3 linked regions of the Schizosaccharomyces pombe genome follow. The protein of the gene in region 1 purifies or fractionates together with the protein of each later gene. This does not show direct contact. Each region holds a gene or a part of one and is shown on either strand. Other genes may lie near its edges. The genes, in order: tsn1, vip1 and srp1.

The links.
Region 2: the proteins of tsn1 (region 1) and vip1 purify together in Schizosaccharomyces pombe (affinity purification with western blotting; one study listed by BioGRID). This does not show direct contact.
Region 3: the proteins of tsn1 (region 1) and srp1 purify together in Schizosaccharomyces pombe (affinity purification with western blotting; one study listed by BioGRID). This does not show direct contact.

What each region holds. Positions count from the first base shown.
Region 1 is NC_003424.3:4,389,674-4,399,794, forward strand, and holds tsn1 (translin), read right to left. Parts: upstream 5,957-10,121; 5' UTR 5,920-5,956; coding exon 5,857-5,919; exon of another isoform or gene 5,819-5,856; coding exon 5,743-5,818; exon of another isoform or gene 5,695-5,742; coding exon 5,458-5,694; intron 5,420-5,457; coding exon 5,337-5,419; intron 5,295-5,336; coding exon 5,126-5,294; intron 5,069-5,125; coding exon 5,034-5,068; 3' UTR 4,703-5,033; downstream 1-4,702. Other genes in the region: Sec7 domain-containing protein sec72, read right to left, coding at 1-2,751; kti12 (elongator complex-associated protein Kti2), read right to left, coding at 3,226-3,899, 4,045-4,216; vacuolar phytochelatin and glutathione S-conjugate ABC family transmembrane transporter Abc4, read right to left, coding at 6,259-10,121. UniProt on the Schizosaccharomyces pombe protein: DNA-binding protein that specifically recognizes consensus sequences at the breakpoint junctions in chromosomal translocations. Selectively binds single-stranded d(GT)n and d(GTT)n microsatellite repeats.
Region 2 is NC_003424.3:1,211,875-1,222,073, reverse strand, and holds vip1 (RNA-binding protein Vip1), read right to left. Parts: upstream 4,936-10,199; 5' UTR 4,904-4,935; coding exon 4,130-4,903; 3' UTR 3,846-4,129; downstream 1-3,845. Other genes in the region: psm3 (mitotic/meiotic cohesin complex ATPase subunit Psm3/Smc3), read left to right, coding at 1-865; Ino80 complex HMG box subunit Nht1, read left to right, coding at 1,277-1,319, 1,371-1,579, 1,634-2,407; protein mug94, read left to right, coding at 3,187-3,753; ubiquitin conjugating enzyme Ubc6, read left to right, coding at 6,146-6,172, 6,213-6,351, 6,436-6,953; RCC domain-containing protein Ats1, read right to left, coding at 7,293-8,348; CTP synthase Cts1, read left to right, coding at 8,606-9,869, 10,090-10,199.
Region 3 is NC_003423.3:3,357,726-3,368,116, reverse strand, and holds srp1 (pre-mRNA-splicing factor srp1), read right to left. Parts: upstream 5,274-10,391; 5' UTR 5,234-5,273; coding exon 5,148-5,233; intron 5,102-5,147; coding exon 5,045-5,101; intron 4,996-5,044; coding exon 4,311-4,995; 3' UTR 3,602-4,310; downstream 1-3,601. Other genes in the region: ATP-dependent DNA helicase Irc3, read left to right, coding at 1-946; pus4 (tRNA pseudouridine synthase), read right to left, coding at 1,101-2,119, 2,223-2,427; rpl502 (60S ribosomal protein L5), read left to right, coding at 2,487-3,371; rpl1801 (60S ribosomal protein L18), read right to left, coding at 5,685-6,245, 6,298-6,300; SPOM_SPBC11C11.06C (uncharacterized protein), read left to right, coding at 8,221-8,757; knh1 (KRE9-like protein), read right to left, coding at 9,484-10,338.

The sequences.
Region 1 (10,121 bases):
TGTGGTGAATCCACTAGATGTGCTGAAATTATTCATTAAAGGAGCAATCGCTGCGAGTTCTTGATCATCTTTCATAGCAATTTCATTTTTAAGAATGTCATCATATACAAAACCAAGATAGTCTTCATCTAAATCAGCACCGTCATTAATTCCACGATTATTTTTAATGAAGTCTTCTTTTGTCATTTTGTTTTTAATACGAGGAGAATGCAAATCAGTATTAAGCAATATTATAGAATAAGCAAGAATGTAGGCAGTATCAGCATTAGCGAATGCAGACGGATTCTCCTTCATATACCTTTCGGAAAATTTCAGCATAATTCGATCAATTTTTTGGGCTTCACCGGGTAGTCTGAAACACTGCAATAGACGACGTAAAGCGTCTACAAACTTTAAATTTATAAAAGATAAACAATCAATAAATTCATGCATCACGGAAATACTTTTCTCATCCCCTTCTCCTAAGTAATCTCCTAAAGTAGTTTTGTCAATACCATCAGCACGAAACAGAAATTCAGCGATAGCTTTAGGATCATTTATGTCAACATATTCATTTTCTGAAAGCATCTTAAGACCTCTAGTAGGTTTGTAATTGAACTTGTTTATACAAGTCCGTAATAGCTTCTTTCGTTGTTTGTTTGATTCAAATTGTGAAGGATCTGCAAGTGCGATAGAACTACTGCTATGGGAATTTGCTTCAAACGATTGTTTTCCGTTATAATAAGGATTCGTCACAGGAGTATCAGACCTGGAAAGCGCATCATAATCTCCAACAAAACCTTGCTCATCCGTTGACACACCTCGGCGAGATAAATAAAGACCACTTTCGGCCCAATTTGATAAAGATTGCAAAATGTCAAGGACGCATTGCAAAGTCTTTAGCTTCAATTGAAAATCGCTAAATGTGGTAAGTTGAACCACTTCGGACTTTAACGAAGCAGAGTTCGTATTTAGAAAAGGGGTACTACTCCGTTCAGAAGATTCTAAAGAAGGAAGAATTTCTTCAATATCTTCGGATATCGTTTCCGAAGGACCATTGGTAGTAACTTTTGAGATTGAAAACAGCAATTGTTCGAAAACGTTGGTAGTGGAAGAACGATCACAATCGTAATTTATATACAACTCTACAAGAGCTCTTGGATTAAGACAGATTCTCTGGATGATTAACAAGGTATGGAGCTTCTGATTGTAGGAGGTGTTCTTGAGGTCTAACATCGGAAAATAAACTTCTCGAAAAAACACTTCAATTTCCTGTTTGAAGTGGGCACGCAAAGAAAAAACCATAAGATAAAAAATGTCACAACAGACTTCAAACACCTGGGGAACAGGACTTACAGCATTGCGAGATAATACTAGGCAAATATATTGACGGGAGGCATGAACAAGGGTCATTCCTTTAAGTGCTGGGATACCACGAAATTGGAGAGTAGGATCCATGAATAAGTCACTATTTTTTTCTAAAATGCGATATATAAGATGGAGACTAATTAATTTCGCGCGCATAGCTTGAGATCTGATATTACTGACTTTATCAGGCGAGGTTTGTCTGACAGCAAGTCGACACATGGATCGGAACACTAAAAACGCGTCTTGGATAGAGGAATTCTCAACACTGGTGACAGCTGGGTCATCTGCGTCAACTTTAACATGATCTAATGATGAAGTGCCAGCAGATGCCATAGAATGAAGAGTAATTTTCTTGTCAGGCTCATCCTCATCGTGAACCCAATTTTCCGTCACCGATGCATCTTCTTCCGGTAAAGCAGATGTAGAGTTCGACTGAGTGTGGCTCGCGCGTAATCGTTCATAGACTACAGTGACAGCCTGAGTCAAAGAAGCTTGAGCAACTGACTGTATAGTATCACTATCCCCGAGAAGAAAGACATTAAAGAGTTTACGAACAGAATTCAATAATATCGCTCCATGAAGCATACTATCCTGCTCAGAACATAAGATAAAGGCAGATAAAGCTTTTACAACATTCAATTGCAGATTTCCATCAACAACTTCATCATTGATACTATCGCATACCATATCAACCATACACTGTAGAAGGGATTTAGGGGGCCCAAATGAGGCAGGTGTTTTATCTTTTGAAGAAAAATAGGCGAATGAAGCAAGTTTAGAAATAGTGTCTAAAGAAATGTTCATAACTTCATCTTGACTGGATTCAAAGCAGTACTGAAATAACTCTACTATCAAAAATTTGTCAAACTGACATTCGGTTTGTAGAAGAGGTTTTAGTTGCTCCATTAAATTCTTCATCTTCTCGTTCTTCATACAAACTTTTATTTGTATAAGCTGCTCGATGCACTTTATAAGCACTACATGAGTGGATTTTTCCAAATTGGTTAAACCTGATTTTTGCTTTTCCAAACTGGCCCTCGATGCAGCGTCAGGTACAGGCGTCGCGATAGTTTCATTGGATTTTTTGTCGTCTTTCAAGTCTTCTTCTTGATATTTCTGCTCGATTCCTTCGGGACTCTTTTCGTTTTCTTGTTTCGCTGGCGACAACGACGAATCTTCTGTATTTATATCAATACTTACCACAGCATCGCCTTCTAAACTTTCAGAAGCAACACGACCGAGATCCATACCATTTTCATCATCTTCGTTGTCAGAATCATTAATAATTTTAGTAACTGATGTTGTTCCAACTTCTGGAAGATCTTCGTGTCTGTCATGTTGCTCATTCACGGAGTTCATAGGCAGAGCAGGCATATTGATCACAGGTTCAGAGGCATCCTGCATTTTGGCATCGGTCACGTTCAAGCCAATTGCCGTCTAGACGAGCCAACTTTTAGCAATGAAATATAAGGCGGAGTATGTCTTTGCTAAGTGTTTTCGGCCTTAATGTGTCGAACGTTAGATCTCGGTTCAATGTGCTACTTATATAAAGCAAACGAGCGAGACTTATAATAAATTGTTTTATTACAGTATGGATTAAATAGTAAACATTATAACTAGATTTATACAATATTCGTTGTTTTACTGAAACTTTTATTGTCGATATTGACCGTGAACGTTTTCTTATTTCTTTTTTACAGGACAGCATTCCTTAAACTGTAAAAGGATTAAGGAATTAAACAAAATGTACGATTTCTACCATTTTAAACATGTTCTAAAAAAAAGAAACAAACAAAGTTAAGTATTAATATTAGGCTACATTTTTTCGTCCCCTTAAAAATCCCAAAAAAAAATATCATAAAGTTTAAGAAAAGGATATCAGTCCAAGGTTTCAAATTGACCATTTAAAAATTCGACAAACATTTCCTTGAGAACATTGGTATTATATGATTGTTGCCGGTTAATTTGGATAAATTGACGGCGCAATCTTTGAAGTAAAGGAAGAGATACTGTAACACTGGGTAATGCGATTTGAAGTTTGCTCCCTGGTACAGTAATCAAGGAGGTATCGTTGGAATTATCCAGTATAAGCATGATTACGTCTTGAGTAGTTTTATCTAATTCATATAAATAGTTGACTTCAGCTGGAGGTTTTACCATTGTAGCTTGGTTAGGCTTGACATTTTTGTTATGAATAAGAACTGACCAGATGTCATCGATAGGACAAGAAGCATCATCGTGCAAGACAGTAAATAAAGGGGAATCCCATCGTGTCATTCCATTCGGTTCTTCATAACGAAACATTAATTGCTCAAGAACATCGTCAGGATACGGCTGTTCCTTGTTACTATTGAATTTTCGACATAAATCTTGAGGAACAGCAACATGAATCACACAATGAGTTGTGTACATAGACTTTGATTCACAATATAACTGGTATCGAAATCCTTTTATGTAATTCAAGGCATCGCAAATTACGAATGTAGATTTTGAAAGTTCACGCTGAACAGCAGAATAGAGAAGGCCACGAGCGGCCTTTTCGTTCTTGGACTCTAAGACAAATTAGTTACCAGAATTACGAAAAATTGCATATACGGATTCTCCCATCATCTAGAGTAGCTGGGCACAATCTGAAGCCAAAAATGAATTGGCTAATTTCCAAAAACTAAATCATTAAAGATAACTATTTAAACATACCTCGATATGTTTCTTTTTCAATGTTTAAACTCTCATCGTTTATTATTATCACCCGATAATCCTTTGTATTGTCGATATTTTGATGAATTCGATCTTCTAAAGCCTTTTTAAGTTCATTTGACCTCGTTGTTTTCCCTGAAGATGGATAACCTGAAACAATTATTAATGGCATTTTCTTTATGTTCTACAAAATAGAAGGTTGAATAAAATCAGCCGTAAAACATATGTTTGAAAACTTCCAGCTTTTTTTTGATATATTTTTTCATGAATTTAACGAAAATTACTAGTTCGTTAAACATTAGTAAACAGTTAATTTTTATCCTTAATTTGTATTTCGTAATGCGCTCAATTTCGGTACTGACTTATTACTTACGACTAGTAAGTATTGCTTAGGCTTAAAAACACAGTAATTTCAATTTGCGGTCTCTTTAATTTAATCTTGCTTCCCTTTACCTTATCAATTGTTCTAAAAGAATTAAGGATTAACACTAGTAAGACCCCGGATTTTAATCGCTAAAAAAACATGCACGCCTTCTACGCAATCAGGGTTGTTCAATTTAAAAATAGTAATCATTTGTTGAAAGATTTTAAAGGTGCATAGGACATCAAGAAATATAAGCTAAATGCAGTTGATTAAAAGTTAGAAAAGTATCTACTTATGCCGCCATTAACATGTATCTGGTAAAATGCGACTAACTTATAACACATGTTGTATACCAGTCCAATGATTAATTTAGTACCCTGGAAAACGTCTTGAATATTGGGTAAAGAAAAATCAGAACTTAAAGAAACCTAGGCTGAAATATTTTTTTTTTAAATAACTATTCAGTTTGCCAGAGAGTGTAACAAAATTAAAGAAAGAGAAATATAATTGCATTCATCATAGGACTGCCAGTTTCATAGCAAATAAGCAGACCTAATATTAAAAAAGCAATTTTATCGGCTCAATTTTAGTCAAGCGTACAGCTGGCAAATAAATTGTTAGCAATTTAAACCAATTTATGTATCCGAAGATCATAAACAACTGCATATGTCAGAAATAAACTATCAAAAAAAAAAAAAATCCACGTAAATTTCATACCGTCCTCAGATCTTTTCAAATCATATTTTAATCCATCGAAATGTCTTCTTAAGGAGTCGTTTTTCAAAGAGAGTACTTGAAAAGAAGAATGAACTTTTTGAATAGTATTTAGGGCCTCAAATGGAATATGATAGTTTCCAGATATTACTGAGTTTACAGATTGACGAGCCTAGAAATTGTGTCAATTTGGATTGTTGAATAGAATATATACCAGTTCAGAACACAGAGATAGTACTGCGTGCAAATATTGCTCAATTGAAAGATGAAAAGTGGACTCTTCTGGAAAAACCGGGACTGAAGATTGTGAGAAAAATGTAAAATAATTTACGCACCTTGCAAAATTTGACCAACTTCGGAAAGCGATAGAAGGCTGTACGTGGGTCTTAAACTTTTATCTAAACGACCGGTCCAGGAAGCTAGCAAATATAAATAAACAACTTTCTGAATTGATCGATCCCAGACTCCGTTATATTTATAGTATGGAAAATTCGATGCCAATTCTGCTAATCCTCTGGTTTTGCTTTTAATGATCTCAAGAGCTTCTAAAATTTCTTCCTGATTTTCTAAATCTTCCAAAGTTAGTCCATGTTCTTTTTCTTGTAAATTTTCATTTCTACTTTGTTCACAGTTTGCCAAGAGAAGTTGCAAAACTCTTAACTTTTCGTCTAACAAATCGACCTCTGCAGTCAGTTTCTGTAATGTTAGTTTGTCATAATTTCCAAGATTAGTACCTCCCGAATACTATGTTCTTTATCAATTTGATCTTGTAGCTGAATAAATATTGATTTATTCATTCGACTTAATCTGTAATGTATGCTGTTGAGTAGTGTTGATATTCGAATGATGTTTTCAGTATGCAAATAACACGACCGTTGTGATATTTATCAGCCAGATTATACCAACCTTTTTCTTAAGTCGTAAAATAAAGATAATCAATTTAGCGGGTATTTTGCAAGTTATTAACTAAAATTATTACTAGCTGCTAAAGAAACGCTTGGGTTGTTTAGATCTTTTATATGTAAAATGATATATTATGTAACTGAAGAAGAATCTAACCTAATTGAATAATTTCCTTTAAATTAATCTAAGCTTACAAAATAAGTTTCATCAGCCAACATTATTTAAAATTAAAATCATGCTGATTTCGAACCTCGAGTTTCAGGAGGCAGAAAAGTAATTCCACTGCCATCGCACATACGTCGAAAGTGACCATTATTATGATAAAGTACGGCTGGGGGACCATACTCTACCAATACACCCTTATCCAAGACCATGACTTTGTCATAATCAACAATAGTTTTCAAACGATGGGCAATACATAACATAGTTGCATCGCCAAATGCTTCACGCAATGTTTTTTGAATTTTCTGATCCATAGCATCATCCACAGAGGCAGTACACTCATCTAGAATAATAATTTTGGAACGTCTAACTATTGCGCGTGCTAATGCAAGGACTTGTTTTTGCCCTTGTGAAAAATTAGAACCTTCAGAAGCAACATGTGTATCTAGTGTGATATGAATAGGTTTTTGATCATCAGTATGAGCCATAATCATTGAACTGGCTCCACTTGTTTTGAGAGCTTCATTAAGAAAATTGTCTTCAAGCTCGTCGAAAGGATCTAAATTACTGCGTACGGTACCTGAAAATAAGATTGGATCTTGAGGGATAAATGATATACGTTGCCTTAAAGCGTTTAGGTTTACCGATTGTGTTTCACGACCGTTAATATATATTTCACCACTAATACGATGTGTAAACCGTAATAGTGTAAGGCCAAGAGTACTCTTTCCGCTACCAGTACGACCGACCACAGCAACCTTTTCACTCGGATTTATATGAAGATTCACGTCTTTAAGGATAGTAGGACCGGCTGCGGAATAGCTAACACTAACATGATTAAACACAATATCTCCCTCCTTAGGCCATGTAGCTGGTACCTGGCCTGCAATAGTGGGTGCTGGTTCTTGCGGAAGTTTGCTATACTCTAAAACTCGTTCATAGCTGTTCATCTCAGCTTGCAACGAATTACATGACCTTACAAATAACAGAACCGAAGAACTGAAAATAACAGCCTGATTAAGAGAAAAACCCACCACACCTGGAGACAAGTCTTTCTGCAAAAGAGCGATTAAACCGGCAATTGCACCAACTAGACCACTGATGCCATCTGTTCTAACAGCAACCCATCTGTTCAAATTATAAGAGGTTGATTGTAAGCGCACGAGATTATCAAGTCGCTCAGAAAACATTTGCTTAAAAATGGTTTGTCGATTGAATGCGCGAATTACACTCACACCGACGATACTTTCGCCAAGCAGACTAAAGATAGGAGAAGTATAAATTGAAATTAATCTTTTAACGCCAACCTGTGCCCTAGTATACAACAAGCCGAAGTAATATCCTGCTAAACAAACTATTACTGCAGGTATCATGAAAATAGGCATAGCGGAAGACACCGATAAAATACCTCCAGCGACGGATAGGAAACAATTAATGGAAAAGAAAAGCCATCCCGATAAATTCATATCAATAGACCTTATATCTTTAGCAAATCTATTGACAATTCTCCCCGTTGGCGTTTTATCGAACCAAGAGGCAAAGGTACCGAATACGCTTTCAAGCATAGAATCGTGAAGCTTTCTTGATGCCCACCAAGCACCGCGGTCATAAGACACGGTTCTCAAAAAATCAAGCAAAGAATATGCTAATAACATTGTACCATACACAAACAAAAACTTGTTATTATTGACGTCAGGAGAATTCACGGAGCTGTTTGTCCAAAAAGCAACCCACAAATCGATCAAAATTGAAGTAGCTTGAGTAGTGACGAAAAACAGTAAAACAGCAGCGACGTAAAATCCAGAGCCAAAATGTTTCATATAGCTAAAGATTTCACTAAATACAACATCGCCTGTAACCCGCTGCTCTTCCTCAACCAGCTTTCCATCTTTTTCGTCAGCAGCTTCCGCATCATCGACTTCATTTGGGATAGGTATAGCAGCAAGATCTGGAGCAGCTGCTTCGGAAGCTGATGCTGCCTGCTCAGCCAAAAATAAAAGAGGGGATGACTTATCAGTAACGGGAAAAGCAGATCCATTCTTGACAGTAACTATGAAAGCAGCAGAATCCATAAATAAATGGACATTGTGTGTTACTAAAATAACTGTTCTATTCTCCATCAGAGAACTTTGAAAGCAATGCTTATAAATCCAATTGGAAGTATGAATATCCAACGCAGAGAAAACATCGTCCATTAAAACAATTGATGTTGGGGAGTATACTGCCCTCGCAAGAGCAATACGCTGCTTTTGGCCACCAGATAACGTTACACCTTTTTCGCCAATTTCGGTTAGATCACTTGCAACAAAACTTTGTAGGTCAGTGAGCAATCCACAAGCTTGGATAACCTTTTTATATCTCTCCTCGATGTACGGATAATCAAATAAGATATTGTCTCGTATAGTGGCATTTCTCAACCAAGGTACTTGAGAAACATAGGAAACGCCTTTTGATCTAGGTAGGTTGTATGAACCTTTATTTAAACTGAGTTCTCCCAGTAATGCGGAAATTAGCGAACTTTTGCCAGAACCGGTGGGACCTATTACAATTGACAGTTTATTTCTGGGAAACACAATGTTCAAATCTCGTAAGCAAAAATCTCCAGGAGACGGATTGGATACCCAAGTTAAAGAAGCATTGAAAAAACCAATTTCCTGGGAAGTATCTTCAATAGTATTGACAGGATCCACTTCATCGGGGTCATTTAAAAAGTCAGAAACCCTACCAATGGAAACGAAAATTTGAACTATTTGACGCATAAGATAGGCAATCCAAGAAAATTGTGTACGAATGAAAGAAAATAAGGATATAGAGGTAAAAGCTATTGATGGTGTAATAGTTTGGCCCATTATGGTAGTAAAAACTACAAAAGTTGCGAACATACTAAACACAGGAAGTGATTCAACTAACACCTGTATACAAATCTCCATTAGTAATAACTTCCAAGTACGATTGAGTTCGACTTGTCTCCGTTGTTTCACTCGATCAAGCATTGGCAATTCCCATCCAAAAAATTTGGTAATACGGATGCTCTGCAATAATTCTGACATGAGCTCGATACGCGAATCAGTTGCACGATTAGCTCGCAATGTAAGCTTTGCGACCAAAGGTCCTAAAACAATAGGGACGGAACAAGTTAAAACAGTTAACGCTAAACCAACATACGCACTCCACCCTAAAAGTTTTTGGAGAAGATAAATGGATCCAGCAATTTCAACAGGCGCACGAACAATGATATGAATAAACTCACGAATTTCACCAATATCATCCACATCAGTAGAAATTAAATTGTTGGATCTTCCAACTTTTGAATCCCCCGATTTGTTTTGAACAAATCGAGATCGAATGACTTTGTTGTATATTTGCTGTACAAGAGTTGTGTAAGAACGCGCGAGGTAACGAGTCGACATGAACAAATAAAACTGGGTAAAAAGAGAAGTGAGAAAGGGGCCAGTTAACAAAAGGACAATCCAAACCAATGGATTAACTGAACTAGATGAAGGTGATTCCAAATGCTTTAGAAGACGATTTAAGGCAATAGGAGAAAGAAACTGACAGACGCTGACCATAAAACTGGAAACACCCATCCCCAAGATTTGTCTCCAAAATATCTTATGTATAGTAATAAATAGGGAAGGGGTTTTCATGCGTTCGAAACGATATGTCCAAGCTTTGTTCTTATCATAATCTGGTATAACCGGAGTATCGTCAACTTCAACGACACGACGCTTAGCTGTCAAAACTAATGGATTCAGGTATCCATAGGAGCATGCAAAATTGAACATACTACAGACCTGTTCAGCAGAAGGCTGATAGTTATCCTCAGGAAATAAAGGATACCAAACACGGGGGGTGAACAATGGGATAAAATTCCCCACAATGGTAATAAAAAAGTAAAACCATAGGAAAGGAGAATAGCTAGAGAGAGGAGGAT
Region 2 (10,199 bases), 3.2 Mb from region 1:
AAAAATTAACGAAAGAAACGCAGCAAAGAGAAGTTTGCTTCTCGCACGGAAAAAAGAATGTAACGAGAAAATTAAATCATTGGGGGTTTTGCCGGAAGAAGCATTTATTAAATATGTTTCAACTAGCTCAAATGCTATTGTGAAGAAACTTCATAAAATCAACGAAGCCCTTAAAGATTATGGAAGCGTTAATAAGAAAGCATATGAGCAATTTAATAATTTTACTAAACAACGCGATTCATTGTTGGCTAGGAGAGAAGAGTTGCGTCGTTCTCAGGAGTCAATTAGTGAGCTTACGACAGTACTTGACCAAAGAAAAGATGAAGCAATTGAGCGTACCTTTAAACAAGTTGCTAAAAGCTTTTCTGAAATATTCGTTAAACTTGTTCCGGCAGGTAGAGGTGAATTGGTTATGAATAGAAGAAGTGAATTGAGTCAAAGCATCGAACAAGACATCTCCATGGACATTGATACGCCATCCCAGAAAAGCTCGATCGACAATTATACAGGTATCAGCATAAGAGTTTCTTTTAACAGTAAGGATGATGAACAACTGAATATTAATCAATTGAGTGGCGGTCAGAAGTCACTTTGTGCTTTAACTTTAATTTTTGCTATCCAACGCTGTGATCCTGCGCCTTTTAATATACTCGATGAATGTGATGCTAATTTAGATGCACAATATCGCTCGGCCATTGCAGCGATGGTCAAAGAGATGTCAAAAACTAGTCAATTTATTTGCACTACTTTTCGGCCTGAGATGGTGAAAGTTGCGGACAATTTTTACGGAGTAATGTTTAATCACAAAGTTTCAACAGTTGAGTCGATTTCTAAGGAGGAGGCTATGGCATTCGTTGAAGGATAAAATGGTTATGGTTTGTTAATTTAAGTTCGCATTTTTCTTTTTAATTTCTTTGCGTGGACAAACCGATCTTTTTGCTATTAGTCATTCTTTCATTAATATCTCTGTTATTTAATTTTATCATACTTAATTTATAATTTTTATATTCATGATGCAATTGCGCTTGAATCAATCAGTGCGTATTACTACCAGAGTTGATACTTTCACATATAGTTTTTTTAAAGTTCTAATCCCAATGGAGAGTCATTTTAATAACTTTTTCCAGATTTCTATTTGTATTCAAAAAATCGAAAGCATGTCGTAGCGTTAAGACTTGTATAAATTCGCTATTTTAGACCTCCAGTCAGTGCTCTTAATTCGCGACAGTACTTACTACATTGTGCGAACAAGATCAAAGGCAGAGCATCTATATCCATGGAAAACCCTCCATACCATGTATCTATTTCCAAATCGGAAGGTGAATATTTTGAAGCTTGATTGATTTTTTCATTTACTAATGAATACTCAGAAATTAAATATCGCCAAAAGTGCAAGGATTTAAAGGCTAGAATTCAGGAGATCCAAAAAGGAAATCAGGAGTTATTAAGCAAATATGAGGTTATTCGAAGAGCTGTCAAGCGTGGCCGATTAGAAAGAGCTATCTTAATGGAACAGTTGGAATTGCAAAGTGAAGCAAAATCTCGCGAATTTGGACAGCGCTCTGAGCCATCTCCTCCTGTAAGTGTTTTTATAGAGTGAATTTATTGTAATACTTGTACTAATCATATGTAGCCTCCTCCCGAAGGTATTAAAATCAAAATATCAACGAAAGGCGCTGGAAACCCGTCTGCCAAGAAGTTAAAGATATCTACAGAAGAAACATCTGATACAAACGTAGCATTAAACAACACGTCGGAAATATCTCATAAATCATCAAATAATTCCCAGCCTAAAGATGCATCCGTCAATGACACAGATGCAGACTTTGAGCAGCAAAATCAAGTTGTTCAATCAAAAGATGAAAAAATTACGAATACTGATCCAATACCTTCTCCTATTATTACAAATCTTAAAACAGAAAGCTCAAAATCATCTGGAGCTAAAAAAGCTACTTCTAATGCCAAAATTACAGACACAATGTTATTCAACCATTTTTCGTCTATTCAAAAACCAAAATTAAAGGCCGAAGGCTCTACCTTGAAGGGACAAGCTTTGAAGAAAACTCTTGAAGATACATGGAATAATTTGACCGAAGAAGAGAAGAAACCTTATCATGAAGGATTGCTTGCAGCGCGTGAGAAGGCCAGAGAAGCAAGACGTCGACGAAGTGCGCAAAATTCAGCAAAACTAGAGAAAGAGAAAGCTAAAGAAAAGCAAAAGGATAAAGATCAAGAACAAGACACTGTTAGTGATAAAAATCAGATAGATGAGATAGAAAAAGGGCAGAAGGAAGTAGATGAAGAACCTGTTTCTGAACCCACCACTTCGCCTATTTTACCTCCAAAAAATCAAGAGCCAATTCGTATGGGAGGATTCACCGTTGTTAATAGATCCTCTAATGCTTAAAAAGAGCTTTCTGATGCAGGCATCAGATCAATGAGGCAATGCTTAAACTTTGTGTCTCAATATTAAAGGTTGGATTAGAAACTAATAGTTTGTCCACAATATATTTTCCTCCTCCTTGCCATTTGCAAAACTTTTTCAAGGTTCCGTTTTCTCTTCACATTATTTACTACCATTTATTCTTTTTTTTTGACTTAAAGTCATAAGATTATCAAAGCAAAAATTTTGAAAGACAATTAAGCGAATGTGTGATTTGAAAGTGGAATTAAGGCAATTACCAGCTGGTTTGTGATTAAACAATGACAACACGAGTTCGATTAATAAGTGTTTAATTTTTTTTTCTTTTTTTTCCAACTTTTTTTTGAAATACTGATTTGGAAAAGAGATTCGTGGTAACGACGAATGATTGTATTTTTTATCAGGGAGAAACTTTTTGCGATTATTTGAATATTTCTCTTCATTCTTTGATAATCTTTAATGATAAACTGTTGTATTTTTTATATATTTCTAACCCCAAGTCCTTTCTTATTTGCTGATTTGGTGTTTATAGAAGCCATCACTGTACGCTTGTTACTATGTTTACATTCACCGGAGTCCAAAATGTAAACACCATGGGTATTGTTTATGTTTACACTCCCTTTTTCTCCAAACATATTAATGATTTTGTGAACAGTTGTGTTTTCGTATTTTAGTGAAATTGCATATTACAAAATATCAAAACAGAAAAAAGAAAAAGCCAATATTAAGCGTGTATATTTTGTGAAACGTGAATAAAAAGAGCAATGGATTTCAACAAAATTGGTGACGAAAATGTCGTTTTCCAAATCTTTAAATTGGAGATGCTAATAATGTCGGAATTTCCTAGCTTTATCGAAGAAAAAGATAAACTTTTATGTCTCAACGTCTTAGCAAATCTTCTAGGAGGAATATTTGAAAACGAGGATAAAATAATTCCCAATTATAAAGAAGCCGTCATAGCGGCTCTCTTTGAACGTTTATTGCTATCTTCAAATCAAAAAAGTACCAGTAAAAGCAACCAAATGATTAAATTGCTAAACAATTCGTTAGCACATAATAACGGTTTGCCATCTCAAAGATGCAACCACGATTCAAAATTGGTGTATATGTCGTTAGTACAAAATAATGGTTTACCTGGTCAAAGAAGCAATTACGTTTGCTGTCCCTTATGCATGGAGCAGCACTGTATCGAACTGCTGACTTATCAGTTATTTGCAAAATGGCGAAATTTCCCAAGGATTGATTTTTCACCTGTTCTGCAAGGCAATCGGGGACCGCGATTCTTCTATACTTGTTTTCTGTGCAACTCAACGTTTTTAGCATCAGCGTGATGATTACGACAAATTTCTGCTAAAAGATGGATACATGAATTGCATCCAAATATAAATGATGATGAAAACTACTTATATATATCTTAATACTATCGTTATCTTTCATAGGTTTCACTCCAAAACATGCCAAATAAAAATGTATGTACTCGTTAAGCCAAAACAAATTACAAACTACAAACATACTCCTTTTTCCTTCAATATTGATAACATCATAGGGAATATAGACAGCAATTTTCCGATTAATGGGAGATAAATATCAGCGTATCTTATATAAATAACAATAAAAACTTCAATGAAAGCATTAATTATAATAATAATCGATAATACACTGAATCATTACAACCATCTGAAAAGAATAACAACAAGGTACTATAATTTACTCAGTGGTCTTTGACTCAGTGGTGGGAGCAGTAGGCTCCTTCTCAGCAGGGGCAGTAGGAGTGCTAGAAGCTGGGGAAGCCGTACCTTCAGCTTGGTTTTTGGCATCAGCAAGCCTACGAGCTTCGTTGTGGATGCCAAGCAACTGGTTTTTACCATCTTCATAGGCATTTTGAACCTTTTGTCCGGCAGAAGTGCCAGCAGCAGTTTCAAGAGCTTTGTGGAAATATGTGCTAACCAAAGAAGAGGTGCGGTTCAATTTGTCAGAAATGGCAAATTTATTATCAACCTCATTGGCCTTTTCGGTGACATGATAACGTTCGTTAACAGAACGAACGCCAGACAAAGCAGACTCGAGGATCCCCTTGAATTTTGAAGAAACGCCATAGCTTTGGTCTAGTTGAATACTCTTTTCCAAAGTTACATCGCTCAAATGATATCCGCGACTTAAAAGTTCAGAGATTATAGCTGAACGAGGCTTGTCTTCTTGACGAGCGGCTTGATCGCCTCCAGCACCTCCTTGATCGGTAGTAGAAGCAGCACCACCATCTTCACTGGTGATTTGGATTTTGTTTTGTCCAAGGAGAGCATCTTGCAAAAGTAAGGCCGTCTTGGTGGCGCTAGGGCGTTCAAATTGGATTTTCGCGGTTTGGGTTTCTCCAGATTTCTCGGTAGAGATGTTGGACACTTTACCGCAGAAAGAAAAGAAGTCTGAGATTTGTTTCTCAGTAACTTCAGGAGAGATGTTCGTTACAATAACTTGGTTGCTCATTACTTTTGTTTCAACTGGTAATATGGAGATTCAAAGTACGTTGAGTGCCATGGAGGCTGCTTTTAAGTAGTGATCATCGATGACGACATCCTCCCAATTACGATTAGATTGAGCCCAACGAAAAAACCACAAAAATGCAAAATTTCCTGACATTTCTAACTTGCCCTTAGCCTATATCACGGAAAGTTGACTTTGTGCTGCTTTGTTAATGCCACTACTTCATACTTTAAATCTGATATTACATTAATGAACGTGTGTTTTCAAAAGATTGCAATTATCGCGATAAGTGAGCCTAAATCAAAATGAAGCTGAAAATAGATGACAATTATCTTTTTATCTGAATATCACGATACAATTTTTATTGGTCACTGTAAACTAAATAGGATAACACTTAGATACTTTGCTGTACTCATGATTTCTTGACTTGGTATACTAGTTGGCTTTGTTCGTTGCATGGCAAAGTGCATAAATTGTGGAAAAAATATCCATTAAATTGCTATTACGAAGTAATTTCCGCTTCTACTATGTTTCGATAAATTCATAAACTTAGGACCGACATTAATTTTCCCGATATCGGCATATCCGGACAGTGAAAACTGATGTTTCTAGAAAACCGAATTTGCTGGATCGCCTTTACGGTCTTTCTAAAGAATGCGAAAGAAATATATGAATAGATTACCTCGCTTGTTCCTTTTCTCATGTTAGTCATCCAAATTGTTTCTTATTGAATAATGAGCAAAATTATCAGGTATATTGAGAAGGCAAGAGAAATATAAATGTTAGACCTACAATAAGTAAAACAAAGATAAGTTAAAGGCTTTCCTTGCTTCAAAGCATTTTTTAATCTATTTTCTCGATCTTACTTCCTCAATGTACATAGGTTAACAATATTTATATTTTACATTTGGGCTTAAGCTGCGTATAGAGAAAATAAAATATCATAAATATCATAGGTATATTGCTACAAAAGATAGAAATGAAAACCTCTTTTACAAGTAACTGTGTTATATTTACGAATTGGTGATTTGAATAAACCGTTGTACTTGAAGTTGGCACCTCACCTCGGAGTTTGTTGGTGTTTTATATTGATTAACCTACAAAGACACTTAGTCTAGTAGAGATTGTGCTTTGAATTTGTAAAAGACAAGAATCACCTAACTAGCCGCTAACCTGGTAATGTAACTGTGAGCGGATTATATGGTTACATGTTTTCTCACTTCCACAAACTTCACAAACACAACGATGGCGTCGAAAGGTGCTTATAAACGGGTATGGATTTATAATTTTAAGCTTCTTCTAATTATTTTAGTTAATGAAAGAATATCTAGCTCTTCAGAAAAACCCTGTTGAGCTTGTTGACGCTAAACCTGCAACTGAAAACATTTTGGAATGGCATTATATTATCACTGGCCCTCCGGACACTCCATATGAAGGAGGACAATATCATGGTATGTTTCTTTTAAATTTCCTTCTGTAATCAATATGTGCATGAACTTTTGGCTGTTGCCATCCTTTGCTAACTTTGCGTACAGGGACATTGATTTTTCCTCCCGATTATCCTTTTAAGCCACCTGCAATTCGCATGATTACTCCAAGCGGACGTTTCCAAACGAATACCAGACTTTGTCTTTCTTTTTCTGACTTCCATCCAAAATCCTGGAATCCCTCATGGATGGTTTCTACTATTCTGGTGGGACTCGTTTCTTTCATGACTTCTGATGAGATTACCACTGGAGGTATTGTAACTTCGGAGTCTACCAGGAGAACTTACGCAAAGGATACGAAGAGATTTAACATTATGGATAATCCTAAATTCTTAATAATGTTCCCCGAGTTAATTGACAAAAATAGGGAAGACATTGCCAAAGCAGCTGCTGAAGCGGCCCTAATCGAACCCCAACAAATTCACTCCACTCCTGTATCTTCCAATGAATGCAAGAAGAATGAACCGTTTAATTCAAAGCAAAGCTGGGTTAAAAGTCGCTGGAGCATAGCAGTTTTGGTGTTTTTTGCCCTTGCTTTAGCTCGTTTTTTTGGAGCTGATTCTTAAGATGTTATGCTTTGTATTTATTTTATTAACTTATGAAAGCGTTTTTGCATTTGATCCTCCGATAAAGAGATTAATGCCAAATAGCGCTTTGCCGTCCTTATATGTTTATTTTTTTTCTTTCGTTGCCTGTTGCCCCTTCATCTCTGCATCACATGTCGCGCTTCAATTAAAACTAAATGGAAGTTAATCTTTGTTCTAGTTTCTTTTTATAGACAATTGTCTCTTAGCAATTGCTTGATTTTTAGCTTACTAAACTACATTTTTTTAAATGTCGTCAAATGTTATTAAAGCTTCGACATTTCGGTAGAAAATAAAATTAAATTTTAGTTACTCAATTCATTATTTGTGATTTTCTTCAATCACTATCCAACTCGTTGCATATCCAGCGGCCACAATATAGGCCCAGCCTGGTAATTGAAGAGTTTTTGCATCATAAACATCTCTTTTATCATCATTCGAGGCATTTCCATGCTCATTCCAACCGTATATTAAAACACTTCCTTTCTTTGTCCTTAAAATATTGTGCTCAGTTCCACTGGCGATTTGGACGATATCACTTGCTTTTGTATGGGCCTTCTGAGCACGATCACAACGACCAAAAGCATAGACACAGCCTTCAGTACTTAATAGACTCAAGGTAGACCAGTTTGCTGATATAGAGCAGATGGAAGAAGACAATTCACTGTTATTTGCTTGCCAAGCATCACATTCTGCTGCTACATTCCACTTCTCCCCTCCTAAAACAATTACATGTCCTGTTTCTTGCAATACTGCACTGAACTGTACACCACATACAACAGCTTGAGCATGTTCAATACGCCCGAGAAATGAAACCTTGTTAACTGTTTTCATAACTACCGGTCCAAGTTGTCCTTTGCGGCCATCTCCACAACCATACAAGTTCCCTTCATTTGTAACACAAATCCAGTGTCTTAATCCAGCCGAGATATCAATAATGAACTCTTTATCGTCAAGGTAAGGAATGTCAATTTCCCTCAAACCTTGACTATTACTGCGATTCCCTTGACCCAATTCACCGGAAAGTCCTTCACCACATGAACAAACACGTCTTCGATCAGCATGTACTATAACGCTGAATTCCCAACCACAAGTCAGGAAAACCCAACGCTCATGACTAACACGGGTGAATATCCGTAAATAGTCTGGACTTAGGGGATTGTAAAGAGGTTCTTTCACTTCATATCCACATTGTCCCTTGCGATTATCACCACAAGCCCATAGTTGAGAATCCTCATCTAACAATAGGGTGTGGTTTCCACCACATGAGATTTTTTCAATTGCACGGTCAAATGGCACTATCTGTGGGCTGTAAACATCCTCATCATTGTTCAAACCAAGTTGGAAGTTACCATTTGAACCTAAAGATAGCAGCATAGAAATATTAGTTGTGGGTTTCTAAAGTGGTGGCACAATGGAGGTTTGTAAAATTTCATCTTCAGTACGATTAGTTTTTAATTTTTAGAATAATGTGAAATACATTATTTGGAAATTCCTATCATTTCGATTTATATTTGTGGTAACGATTTTCTCTTAAAAAAATTTTCGCCAGCGCTTAAAAATTTGTTAGCAACCTAATTTTTCTCTCCTCCACGTACCACCAACTTTGGAGCAAACATCAGGGGACAGCCAATATGAAGTACGTTTTAGTATCTGGAGGTGTTATTAGTGGTATTGGAAAAGGTGTAATTGCCTCTTCCACTGGATTACTGCTAAAAACCCTAGGATTGAAAGTTACTAGCATCAAGATTGACCCTTACATGAATATTGATGCTGGCACTATGTCTCCCCTTGAACATGGGGAAGTTTTTGTTTTGAATGATGGCGGTGAAGTCGATTTGGATCTTGGAAACTATGAGCGCTATCTTAATGTTACATTAACCCATGATAACAATATTACAACTGGAAAAGTGTATTCTAATGTCATTCAGAAGGAACGTCGCGGTGATTATCTTGGAAAAACAGTGCAAATTGTTCCTCATGTTACGAATGAAATTCAAGACTGGGTGGAGCGTGTTGCTCGAATTCCAGTTGATCAAAGTGGTGAAGAACCAGATGTTTGTATTGTTGAACTCGGTGGTACGGTTGGCGATATCGAGTCTGCTGCTTTTGTGGAGGCCATGCGTCAATTTCAATTTCGTGTGGGTCATGAAAACTTTGTATCAATCCATGTTTCTCTTGTCCCTGTAATTAATGGCGAGCAGAAAACTAAGCCTACTCAACAAGCAATTCGTGATTTGCGTAGCTTGGGCATTACTCCAGACTTGATTGCTTGCCGCTGTAAACAACCTCTTGAGAAATCTGTGATTGATAAAATTTCTCTTTTCTGTCATGTTGGTCCCGAACAGGTGCTAGCTGTGCATGATGTCTCTAGTACATATCACGTTCCTCAACTGCTTGAAGACAAGCTATTGGAATATTTGAAAATTCGTTTCGCACTGGATAAGATAAGTGTATCTCGCGAACTCGCTCTCGCAGGCGAGAATATGTGGAGCTCGTGGAAACATTTAACACAGGGATACGATCATCTTTTCAAGAAGGTCACCATCGTCCTCGTAGGAAAATACACTCATCTTCAAGATTCCTATATATCAGTCATCAAAGCATTGGAGCACTCTGCTATGCGCTGTGGTCGTAAACTTGACCTCCAATGGGTAGAAGCTTCTCATTTGGAAGCTAGTACAAATACTAGTGACCCACTTAGTTACCATAAGGCATGGCATTTAGTCTGTTCTGCCAATGGTATCCTAGTGCCTGGCGGATTCGGCTCTCGCGGTGTCGAAGGGATGATTGCCGCAGCCAAGTGGGCTCGTGAAAATAATACACCCTACTTGGGCATTTGCCTTGGTATGCAAGTTGCCGTTATTGAATTCGCGAGAAGTGTTTGTGGAATTGAAGGTATGTTTTTTGATGCTTTTATTGGACTCCATTTTAAATTTTTAACTGCCTTCTATTATTTTTGGGATCTATAGATTCCATGCACTTACTAGAGGTTTTTGTCATTTTCCGTTGACTCTAACTGTAGACAAGTGCTACATGAATAGTTAAACAGTTATTATTAATTGGAGCATATTTTTTATTTTGCTTCTTTCAAAAGATTTTTAACTAACATTTCTAGGTGCATTTTCTGAAGAATTCGATAAGGAATGCGAAAACAATGTTGTTGTTTATATGCCTGAGATTGATAAGGATAAACTGGGTGGAACTATGCGTTTGGGATTGAGACCT
Region 3 (10,391 bases), on another chromosome or scaffold:
CCGAGCTTTGTTTGGGGAAACTAATGATTCGGAACGTGAAACTTTAATCCAAGATTTCCGAAAAAAGAAATTTCCTGTCCTTGTTAATTGCATGGTGTTGACTGAAGGGACCGATATTCCTAATATTGATTGTTTAATGATCGCTCGGCCTACAAGTTCTCCAAATTTACTTACACAGATGATTGGTAGGGGATTGCGATTGCATGAGGGAAAAAGAGATTGTCTAATATTAGATTTTTGTGATTCTTTAAGAAGAGTCAGTCTACATGTTGACCCTACTTTAGCTGGTCTTTCCCCCGATGAAGTTGAAAACTTTTATAATAAATCAAAGAATTCCCTTGCGAACCCTGATTATGATCCTAAAATTTATGGATTACAATCTGTTTTGTGGTACAGCAAATTACGGAAGTTGATAGAAATGATGGATAACATTAAAAACAAAGATAGGAGCATTTTCAATTTATCTACTAATGCTTGGGTTGCTGTCGGTATGGGTCGATATGTCTTGAGCTTTTTACAAAAGGTGTTGATAATTGATACAAATTTTGAAGATGGGACACATAAGATATCTGAATATACGAAAGAGAAATTAGGGACTCGAGTGTATAATCGAAAACGTATTGTATCCGATCGCATACCTTCCTTGAAATTCGCGATAAGGGCAGCGGAAACATACATTTCCAATTTGAAAACACCTCGTTCTCTTATTAGTCGTAAAGCAGTGTGGAGAATGAGACCCGCGTCTGTTAGACAAATAAACTTCTTGAAAAAATCAAATTTAAAACTAGATGAAAAACTCTTGACAGCAGGTGTTGCAGCTGATATGATTACTAAAGTAATTTATGGAGGAAAAGGTCGACAAGTTAGAACAGATAAGCTACAAAGTTATCTGAAACACGACGCAAATTTAAAGCGTATTACTACATTGAAGGAATTAAAGGGTTGATGGTTTCAGTGTTCTTCATAAAAATCGTTTTCTTCACTGTACCAGTGATAATATTTGCTTGGAGTGGAAAAGAAATGTCTATTATATGCTTTTAAAGAAAATATGAATGTCCTTATCTAAAAAGTATATTACTGGTATATATATTAAGACTGCTTCAGCTTGTTTCGTCTCCTTTCAGGTCGATTTTGAACGCTGCTGCGAGTTTTTCCTCCCAGCCTGGAGCTGAAAATTCTGAAAAATCAAAGCAGTTTTCATCGTCTAGTGCAAAAGACCCCTGTTTCAATCTCACAAGATCGACCATGTGTGCTTCACTATTTACTTGTCGGCCCAAATCATGAATTAAAGAGCGAACGTAGAAACCAGAAGAAACCGTCATATCAAGGACTGCAATTGGCCCTATTGCAGGTCGTGATCCTCGCGCTAAATCAGTGACTTCAAACTTTCGTTTTTTAGGGTTTGTGACAGTTTGATCTTTGGCTACATCTGTAACAGAATTGGTAGTGGGACTCTTCGCGTTTATTTTTTCATCACCATCTTGGGGATTGATGTCTTGCTCTGTCTTTGCAAGTAAATCATGACGTTCGGCACCTCCCTCAATAGGTCTTAAAAGTTCCTCACTTTCAATTGCCTCCTTTGAAGCAAATTCATCCGGATCCGTGTAGGTGTGTTCTTCCTTCGGAATAAAATCTTTTAAAATTAATTCTTCGCAATGCATAGATCGTGCTTTGATACTTTCAGGTAAAGGAATTCCTTCGCGTGCATACTCATATAGTCTCTTACCTTGAATATGCAGAGCAGAGTAAAGAGGAGGTAACTGAGAGATGTCACCTCGAAAAGCGTCTAAACCAGATAATATTTCCTCTTTAGTAGGGATGTGTACAGCAATCTTAATTATTTTTCCAGCAGAATCATAGGTATCTGTCGAGCAGCCAAACAGGGCTGTCGCTCGGTAAGTTTTCATACATGAAAGTAATGATGAAAGTTGCTTTGTTCCTGTACCCAATCCCACTACCAAAACTCCAGAAGCAAGAGGGTCTAAGGTACCTCCATGTCCAATCTTTATATCTGGTAGTCTGTTTGATTTTCTTCGTCTTCGATTACGATCGTTAGGGTGTGGAGGAGCAGGCCGAAAATATTGAGCTAGCTCACTGTTTGAAATTATTTTTTTTAATTCTGTCAGTTAGGATCATTTTAGTTTGCACAACAATTATTGCAAGTAATTGAATATTAATGGTAATTTAAAAGAAAAATACAAAAAACTCCCTAAATAACTTACCATTTAAGCATTGAGCAGAGGTTCTACCAGAAGGCTTATTTATGGCTATTAATCCACCTTTCATATCTAAGCATAAATCAGCGACGAAAAGGGCGTAAAACAAGATTTCATTTTCTTCATTTGCTTTAGCAGTAAACTTCGTTATCCTTTGAAATACTACCCTTGTGAAAAATAGGGTAGGGTTATAAGTATTTGTGACTGTCATAAATACTTAAGATCCAAAATTACTTAGGAATAATATCATACTTTTGTCCGTTTACCGACATGCCCTTTATCAAAGCAGTCAAGAGCAGCCCTTACTTTTCACGTTATCAGACGAAATATCGTCGTCGTCGTGAGGGTAAAACCGATTATTACGCTCGTAAGCGTTTGATTGCCCAGGCCAAGAACAAATACAATGCTCCCAAGTACCGTTTGGTCGTTCGTTTCTCCAATCGTTTCGTCACATGCCAAATAGTTTCTTCCAGAGTAAACGGTGACTATGTTCTTGCTCACGCTCACTCTTCTGAGCTTCCTCGTTACGGTATCAAATGGGGTTTGGCCAACTGGACTGCCGCCTACGCTACCGGTCTTTTGGTCGCTCGTCGTGCTCTTGCTAAGGTTGGCCTTGCTGATAAGTATGAGGGTGTTACTGAACCTGAGGGTGAGTTCGAGCTCACTGAGGCTATTGAGGATGGTCCTCGCCCCTTCAAGGTTTTCTTGGATGTTGGTTTGAAGCGTACTTCTACCGGTTCCCGTGTCTTTGGTGCAATGAAGGGTGCTTCTGATGGTGGTTTGTTTATTCCCCACTCTCCCAACCGTTTCCCTGGTTTCGATATTGAAACTGAGGAATTGGATGATGAGACTCTCCGTAAGTATATCTATGGTGGTCATGTTGCTGAATACATGGAGATGCTTATTGATGATGATGAAGAGCGTTATCAAAAGCAATTCTCTGGCTTGATTGCTGATGGTATTGAGAGCGATCAACTTGAGGACATCTATGCCGAGGCTTATGCCAAAATCCGTGAGGATCCTTCTTTCCAGAAGTCTGGTAAGGATGCTGCTGCTTTCAAGGCTGAGTCTCTTAAGTATACTCAAAGGAAGCTTACTGCTGAAGAACGCAAAGAGCGTTTCAACGCCAAGGTTATTGAGGCCGGTCGTGCTTAAAAAGGGTGCTTAATAAAAAATTGACATTGAAGAAAATTTTTATTTTTGGCGTAGCTTTGTTGTATATTCTTGTTTTGTTTTTTTTAGTTATGATTTATAAACGTAAAGTAATAACGGTTTTTTGCTAAAAAACTTCATGAATTTGATATATAGTTAAAAATTGTCTATGCGATTTTGGTGTCCAAACTAAAAGTAAAATATTAACACACATGTATGTTGAAAAAGTTGTATTCAACAGTAATACCTTGGAAACAAAGGCTGCTGGTAATAAAAAGCTCTGAAATTAGAAGTGCGAACAACAAAGTTGAAATATGATATTAAAATGGCATAAATAAATAAATAGATAGTTTTATTACAAAAATTTTTAACTCAAACTAGTGAACTGTCAAAATTATAGTCTACAAAATCCAGAAGTCAAAAAGTATTTTCATAGTAATTGCAAAAGCTAAATATATTTTGAGCACACTGTTGTGCCCTTAAAGAAGGAAACAAGCGACCATCATACCATAATTCAAACAAGCGTTTGGCAGTAGCATACCGCTAAATAAATAAATGCAAAGGAACATTCATGGTATCAATTTTTGCGGCATCACACAATTGATGTGAGAAAGAAAGCTTATATTGTGAGATAAACCTACGGCATAAAAGTTCAAGCAACAGCGAGAGAAGAAATTGGATTCTAAATCATCTGTTCAGAGCAAAATCTGCCACGAATCAGCACAGTCAAAAGTGGAAATTGTTGAGCTTTTTCTTCGGTTTTATTTTCTAAAAAAAAATAAAGCGCCCTGAAAAAAAAAGGACAGATTTACACAAACATGACATTTCAGAGTTTTAGCCGGATAAACGACATTAACTGTGTTACGGAATTTTGGAACAAAAGTAAAGGAATATAGACAATTTTTAAAACATGAAAACCTTTTTTTAATTAAGTACAAAAGTTTATTGAGACTCTGTAGTAGTAGGGTTGGATTCTGGTTGCTCTGAAGCAGCTGACACTTCGGGTTGGGCTTGTTCTGGTTGCTCTTGTGAGACATTTGAGTTCTCTTCCTTAGGAGGCTCTTGCTTACTTTCGTTTTGACCGACTGGTTCAAGATTATTAACTTCCTCGTTACCATTAGAGTTAGGTGCAGATTGTTGTTCAACTTCAGTGCCAGATTTTTCGTTAGACTCAGAGATTTTTGTGTCACCATTATCAACATTCGTTTCAGTTTCATTCTCTACTGGGCTCTTTTGAGGTGCAAAAGAGACTGGTGAAGGTGAACGATGGTTCCGTTTAGGAGAACGACGATCATAATCGGGAGACCGACTACGTCCATCAGGACTACGACTACGCGAACGATAACGAGGGCTCATTGATCTTCTATCAGATCGTTCATCATTATAAGGGGAACGAGATCGGGCTTCGTGCGGACTAGGTGACCTTGAACGTAGCCGTCCAGAATCTCCGTGAACACGACCTCCTCGTTCGCGTCTTCCACCACGTTTGGAGCCAGGGCCTGACGGAGGTGGTTGCTTGGCCCATTCTACACGAAGAACACCGCCACCTCTTTCGAGACGACGTCCGTGCACTTCATAATACGCATCTTCAGCATCACGGGAATCTTCGTACTCAACGAATGCAAAACTATCCAATAAGACGGTTAAAATCTTTACTTAGAAAGCCATTTACTTACGGTCTTGAAGTTCGAGTTCTAGGGATTGGGATGTCGCAACGTATTAAAGGCCCAAAACTAAATGAATAAATTAGCTATTTAAAGTGCATGAAAAACAACTTACGGCTCAAATTCATAAGCAAGCTCACGAGCACGCATTCCATCTCGAAATCCTGTCACATAAAGGGTACGAAGGCTTCTGCGACTCATTTTTTTCTTAAGAAGACGTTTTTTGCTCCAAAATTCGGTGTAAGTGGAAGGAGGAATGGAAATCCAATAGCGAATAGCACGGTGTGGCTAACGAATTTAGTAAAAATCACTCGTGCTCACTAAATTGAAATCCGACGACAAAAAAATTAATAATGACCTGCAGCGCGAAATACAAAAAGTAACTGCTAACACCAATATTAAATCAATAAAAGCATCGTCTTACAAGTACATATACGTTTACGATTAAAAAATTAGAAAGAGAATAATGTTAACCAACTAAGCTATTAGATTTTCATTGTATTCATATCTGGGAACGAACACTATTGATGTACACTAAAGCCGGATCAATAATGCACCGGTAACCTAATTTATGAACGCTAACCAAATGAGAAGCAACTAAGAGCTGATCCCATAAAGTGTGAGAAAAGGAAACGAGCTTGAACAAGGTAATTTAAACCTTGAATGCACGAGACTTTCTGCGACCACGAGCTCTCTCGAACTTACGGCCCTCAGAACGAACATAAGGAGCCTTATGCTTGTGGGGACCAAAGCCAAAGTGACGGTAAGCCTCACGAGCATGCTTCTTACCACGAACAAGAACAGTGTTGCTTCCAGTGGGAGCACGTAGAGCAAGCTGATCGAGGGTTAAAACTTCACCACCAGCTTTCAAAATACGAGCGCGAGCAGATTTAGTAAAACGAAGAGCGGCAATAGAAAGCTTAGGAACAGTCAACATACGCTCATCGTCGGTAACGGTTCCGACAACGACGGTGGTTTTGTTCTGAGAAGAAGCACTCTTACGGCTAGTTAAAGCAGCGATCTTTGAGATAGAAATAGGAGGACGGTTAGTCTTGGATTGAAAAAGACGCTTCAAAATAGCCTTGTTGAAGCGGGAATCTGTACGACGGGCCAAAAAACGGTAAAGCTTAACCAAAAGCTTTAAGTAGACGTTCTCCGAAGCAGGCTTGCTGCGTTGAGACTTTTTAACGTGATGTCTCTCGATATCAATTCCCTAAATCACTCATTAGCTTAATAGAACAAACAGGTATTCATATTATACATACCATTTTGATATAACGCTGCTTGTTCGTTTCAATAATCACTGCTAAAATTGGTAGTAAATTTGTGACTGCCTTTTTGAGCTAGGGTAGGTTTTAGGGAGGTTTATCGAGAGTCACTAGGTACGCCTTATTTGTGTAGCAAACCCATAAACGGAGGTGTATAAATGATTCAATATAAATAAGTATTTGCTAGATTATTTATTTATAATAGTGAGATTTTGGAATAGGGTAGGTGTTACTTTTGCATTTATCGAACACGTTCATTAACTCTCTAAAAATTAATTGTTTTATAAAACTAGATATATGAAAAAGATGCATTTGAATTTTACTGCAAATAATAATTGAATTATATAACCATATTTCATTGAAAATATTATACTTTATGGAACCCTTCAGTATTCATTTATTGTAAACCTTTTCATGCTTTTTGAGTAGACAAAGAAGTATTTTTTTTTTAAGCTGCACGAAAATTGCAAAAATTGATCGGAATACAATTTCTTTTACTATTGGGCGCTTAAAAGATAACAAAAATAAATATAAAGTGCGAACACGAAGACGTTGCAAATACTAGCATATTTCAAATATTAAGCACATAAGTAAATTAATCAATATATTTTTATAATTGATTATTCAAATCTATGTATCTGATAACTCGTAAAATTGGTTAGGTTACTTATTTACCTATTTTTTTTTTTCTAAAAGTATCATTTTAAGACCACGAGTCATCTACAGGATTGATTTTAATTTATTTTAGGCAATAAGGAACATATCTCGATTTAATAGGAAATCTTTGCAGAGATTTCTATCAATTACGAGATTAGGATATTTTTTTGATCGTTTAGATAACATTTTCTATTTAAAGGGATCAGAATGTTGCTAAAACAAATATATTTGCTTCGATGCACAAACACTTTCTAAATTGAACGTAATTATTAATCAATGATAATATTTGATTATTTAAGTTACTTGCATGTTTAGCTCACATTAACTATTTTAACTCTACGAAATTAAGTAATTGTTATGTCCTCTATCAATTTGATTTGAAGCAATTTCATGTTCTTCTTTTGGCATAGATTCAGTCAGCTTAGTAGTTGCAAGTAGATAATTCTCCATACTCTGATTGCTAATTTCTTTAGGTATTTAGCTCTTTTTTAAAATCAATGATATTTACTTAATTACTTTGGAAGGAGAAAACCATTAATATTATCTATTTGTATTATGAGTTGTAACGTGGTTTCGTGGTGTAGTGGTAGCATACTTCGTTTGGGTCGAAGTGGTCACGGGTTCAATCCCCGTCGAAACCCGAACTTTTTAGTTTGTTTTTTTATTTAATTCAGTATAAAAGCAAGTTTTCAACTTTTTATGTTTTCTGCCATTCCTGACTGCGGGTAGTAAACACGCGGCCATTTAGCAAATATTATCACAAATGCCGTAAATACTTTCTGTTCACTATAGTTTGTGCTTATAATAAACCTCTTTAGTTTTCTTTAGCGAATATGGTTAAAGCTGTCCTTTTTGAAACACTTTAACATGCAAGTAGTAATAGGCTATCATTTTTTGGTCATTAAATATTAAATCATTCATAACACTATATTTAAAAAGGAAAAAGTAATTCATTTTCTGTTCACCATAATAAAATATTGTATCACCTTAAACAGCGATAAAGAATCGTAATGCCACTTAGTAAACGGATTTCTACGCTAACTTGCTGGAATCTACTATAGATGATGAGTATCTTCAGTACAGTGCTTAAACTATTATGATGTCAACTGAGGACGTCATACTGTATACGCAAAGTATGTAAATTCTATTAATACATATATACCCACCACAACATACCAATTTAAATCAAATTCGTTAGTGTTTACAACTTTGAAGAAAATTTGACTTTTATCTCTCCTCATATTCACTGAAAAATTTTTTAAGATGTCTGCAAAAGAAGGAAGCTCCCATCCCTCATATGCCGAGATTGTAAGAGAACATGCTCCTGAACAAACAGCAGCAGAAAAAGCCGCACCACAGCCTCCTGAAGTTGAGGAAGTTCTGAGTGAAGAACCCTACCAAAAAAATGAAAAAGTTGTCGTTTTAGATGAGGAAGATGCCGACGCCTTTCTACATCCCGAAGAGGCGGAGGCAAAGAAGGAATCAGAAAAACCATCCGATGGGGAAAAGAAAGGTAAAACTGAGAAATTGGAAAAAGAAGCGAAATCTGTTTACTCCAAAGCTTGCAATTTTGTCAATGCTCATAAAGTTCCAGCTTCTGCTGCCATATCAATCAACCTCCTCAGTCTTGGCGCCATCTCTGCATATCTCTTGAAAAGCCGTCAATCTGGAACCCTTAACAATCGTACTCTTTGCACCTGTACCGCTATTGCTGGCATTGTATTTACAATCAGCGCTGTATTTTCAAAGACTCCCAAAACTGCATGCTGTGCTTCCAAAAAGTCTAATAAATCAACTTAATGTTCGTTAAAATCTGGAATTCATTGTTTGAAAATCTCCAGTATTGTTTATTCCTATCATCTTCTTAAATTAACATATCCCCTCTTGATTTTCTGCACTTCTGCTGCATTTTACAGGTTTGATGAAGAATACCTCTATAGTATATCACAATATTTTATTTAATGTTATGATTTAATTGAACATTACTTGTAATGCTTTTGCAATATTAACTTAGTGAATTTAGTAATTGATTCCGACTATTTGGGCGTTCTGGCATAGCACTGTCATCACACAATTTATTTATTTGTCGCGATTACTTAATTAAACAATGCGTTCAAACAAGTATAATTTACAAAATAAATTCTAAATAAAACCATAATTATTTATTAAATGTAGAAAATGATAACTAAAGAAAAGGGTTTAACCGAGAGTTCTTTTTGCCTAAATATGTAAAAGAACGAATGAAAAGGGAGAAAGGAAAGTAAAAATTGAACGAATGAAGAAATAACTCATGCACTTGAAGATGCTTTTACGTGAAATTAACTCCACAGAAACAGCATAATGGTAAATATGAAAAAAAACATGACTTTAGATAACAAATAACCAAAATATTTTGTTTTCTTTGACGAACGACTCAATGTATTTGAGCTAAAGGAAGCAGACAAAAATGCACACAGTAATATCCTAGTGTGCTAATGAAAAATCTAAATGACATGAAAGGCTTTGGCCTTAAAAAAAATTAACAATTTAGGAATATAACAACCCACGTTTGTGTTCACCTAAACGCATCCCACGTTTCGGAGCAGCTTGAGCCCAGCTGTCTCGTCTCCTTAAACCAGCAGTTGGAGTTGCGATTATAGTAGGCTTAGAGGCCGTACTAGCATAATTAGCATACAACGTATACATGTACGTTGGAGATGCAAAGACAGTCGAGGTGGCAATGGGAGGACCTGCAAACGTGGTAAATACGGAATAAGAGGAAGTTTCCCATAGCGGTTGTATGTCGGTCGTAGCAGCAGTAAAAGTAGAATCTGGTCGATTTTGAATAGGTCCTGTACGGAGAACACCGGTAGTTTGAGATAGATACCAATCTCGCATTGTACCTGTAGGCCATACACCAAGAAAAGTGCTAAAACCAGTAAGGGTAGGAACATAAGGATACACACCAAGAGCCATCAAAGACGCATAAATTTCGTAATTATCAAAAGTTCCTGTTAGACCATTAACAGTGAAAAAGTCAGTATAGTCATTAACTATACCACCAGCATATGTAGATTGTGCCCAAAGAAAGTAAAGACGTCCAGCTGGTCCAAAAACCTGAGAAATAGCGAAGGGTCCAGCTTGGGATATAGAAGAAGGACTAGGGGACGTATACAAGACTGCACAAGGTTGAGGAGCATCCATGCTACCACTACATATATAAAAAACTGTGTTGGTTATGTCCTCAAGAGGTATTCCCGTATTAGATTCTTCCCATGAAAACGAAATAGCGGTAAAATCCATACTATCTGTTGTCGCCGGAGTGACGAATCGAATTTGCGCACATACATAATGTATGTATGAGCAGACTAGCAATACTAGCATCAACATGGTGGTTTTCATTAAATTCGACGGCTTGAAGAGACTTTGCAAATTTAGTGGTAAGCGATATATAT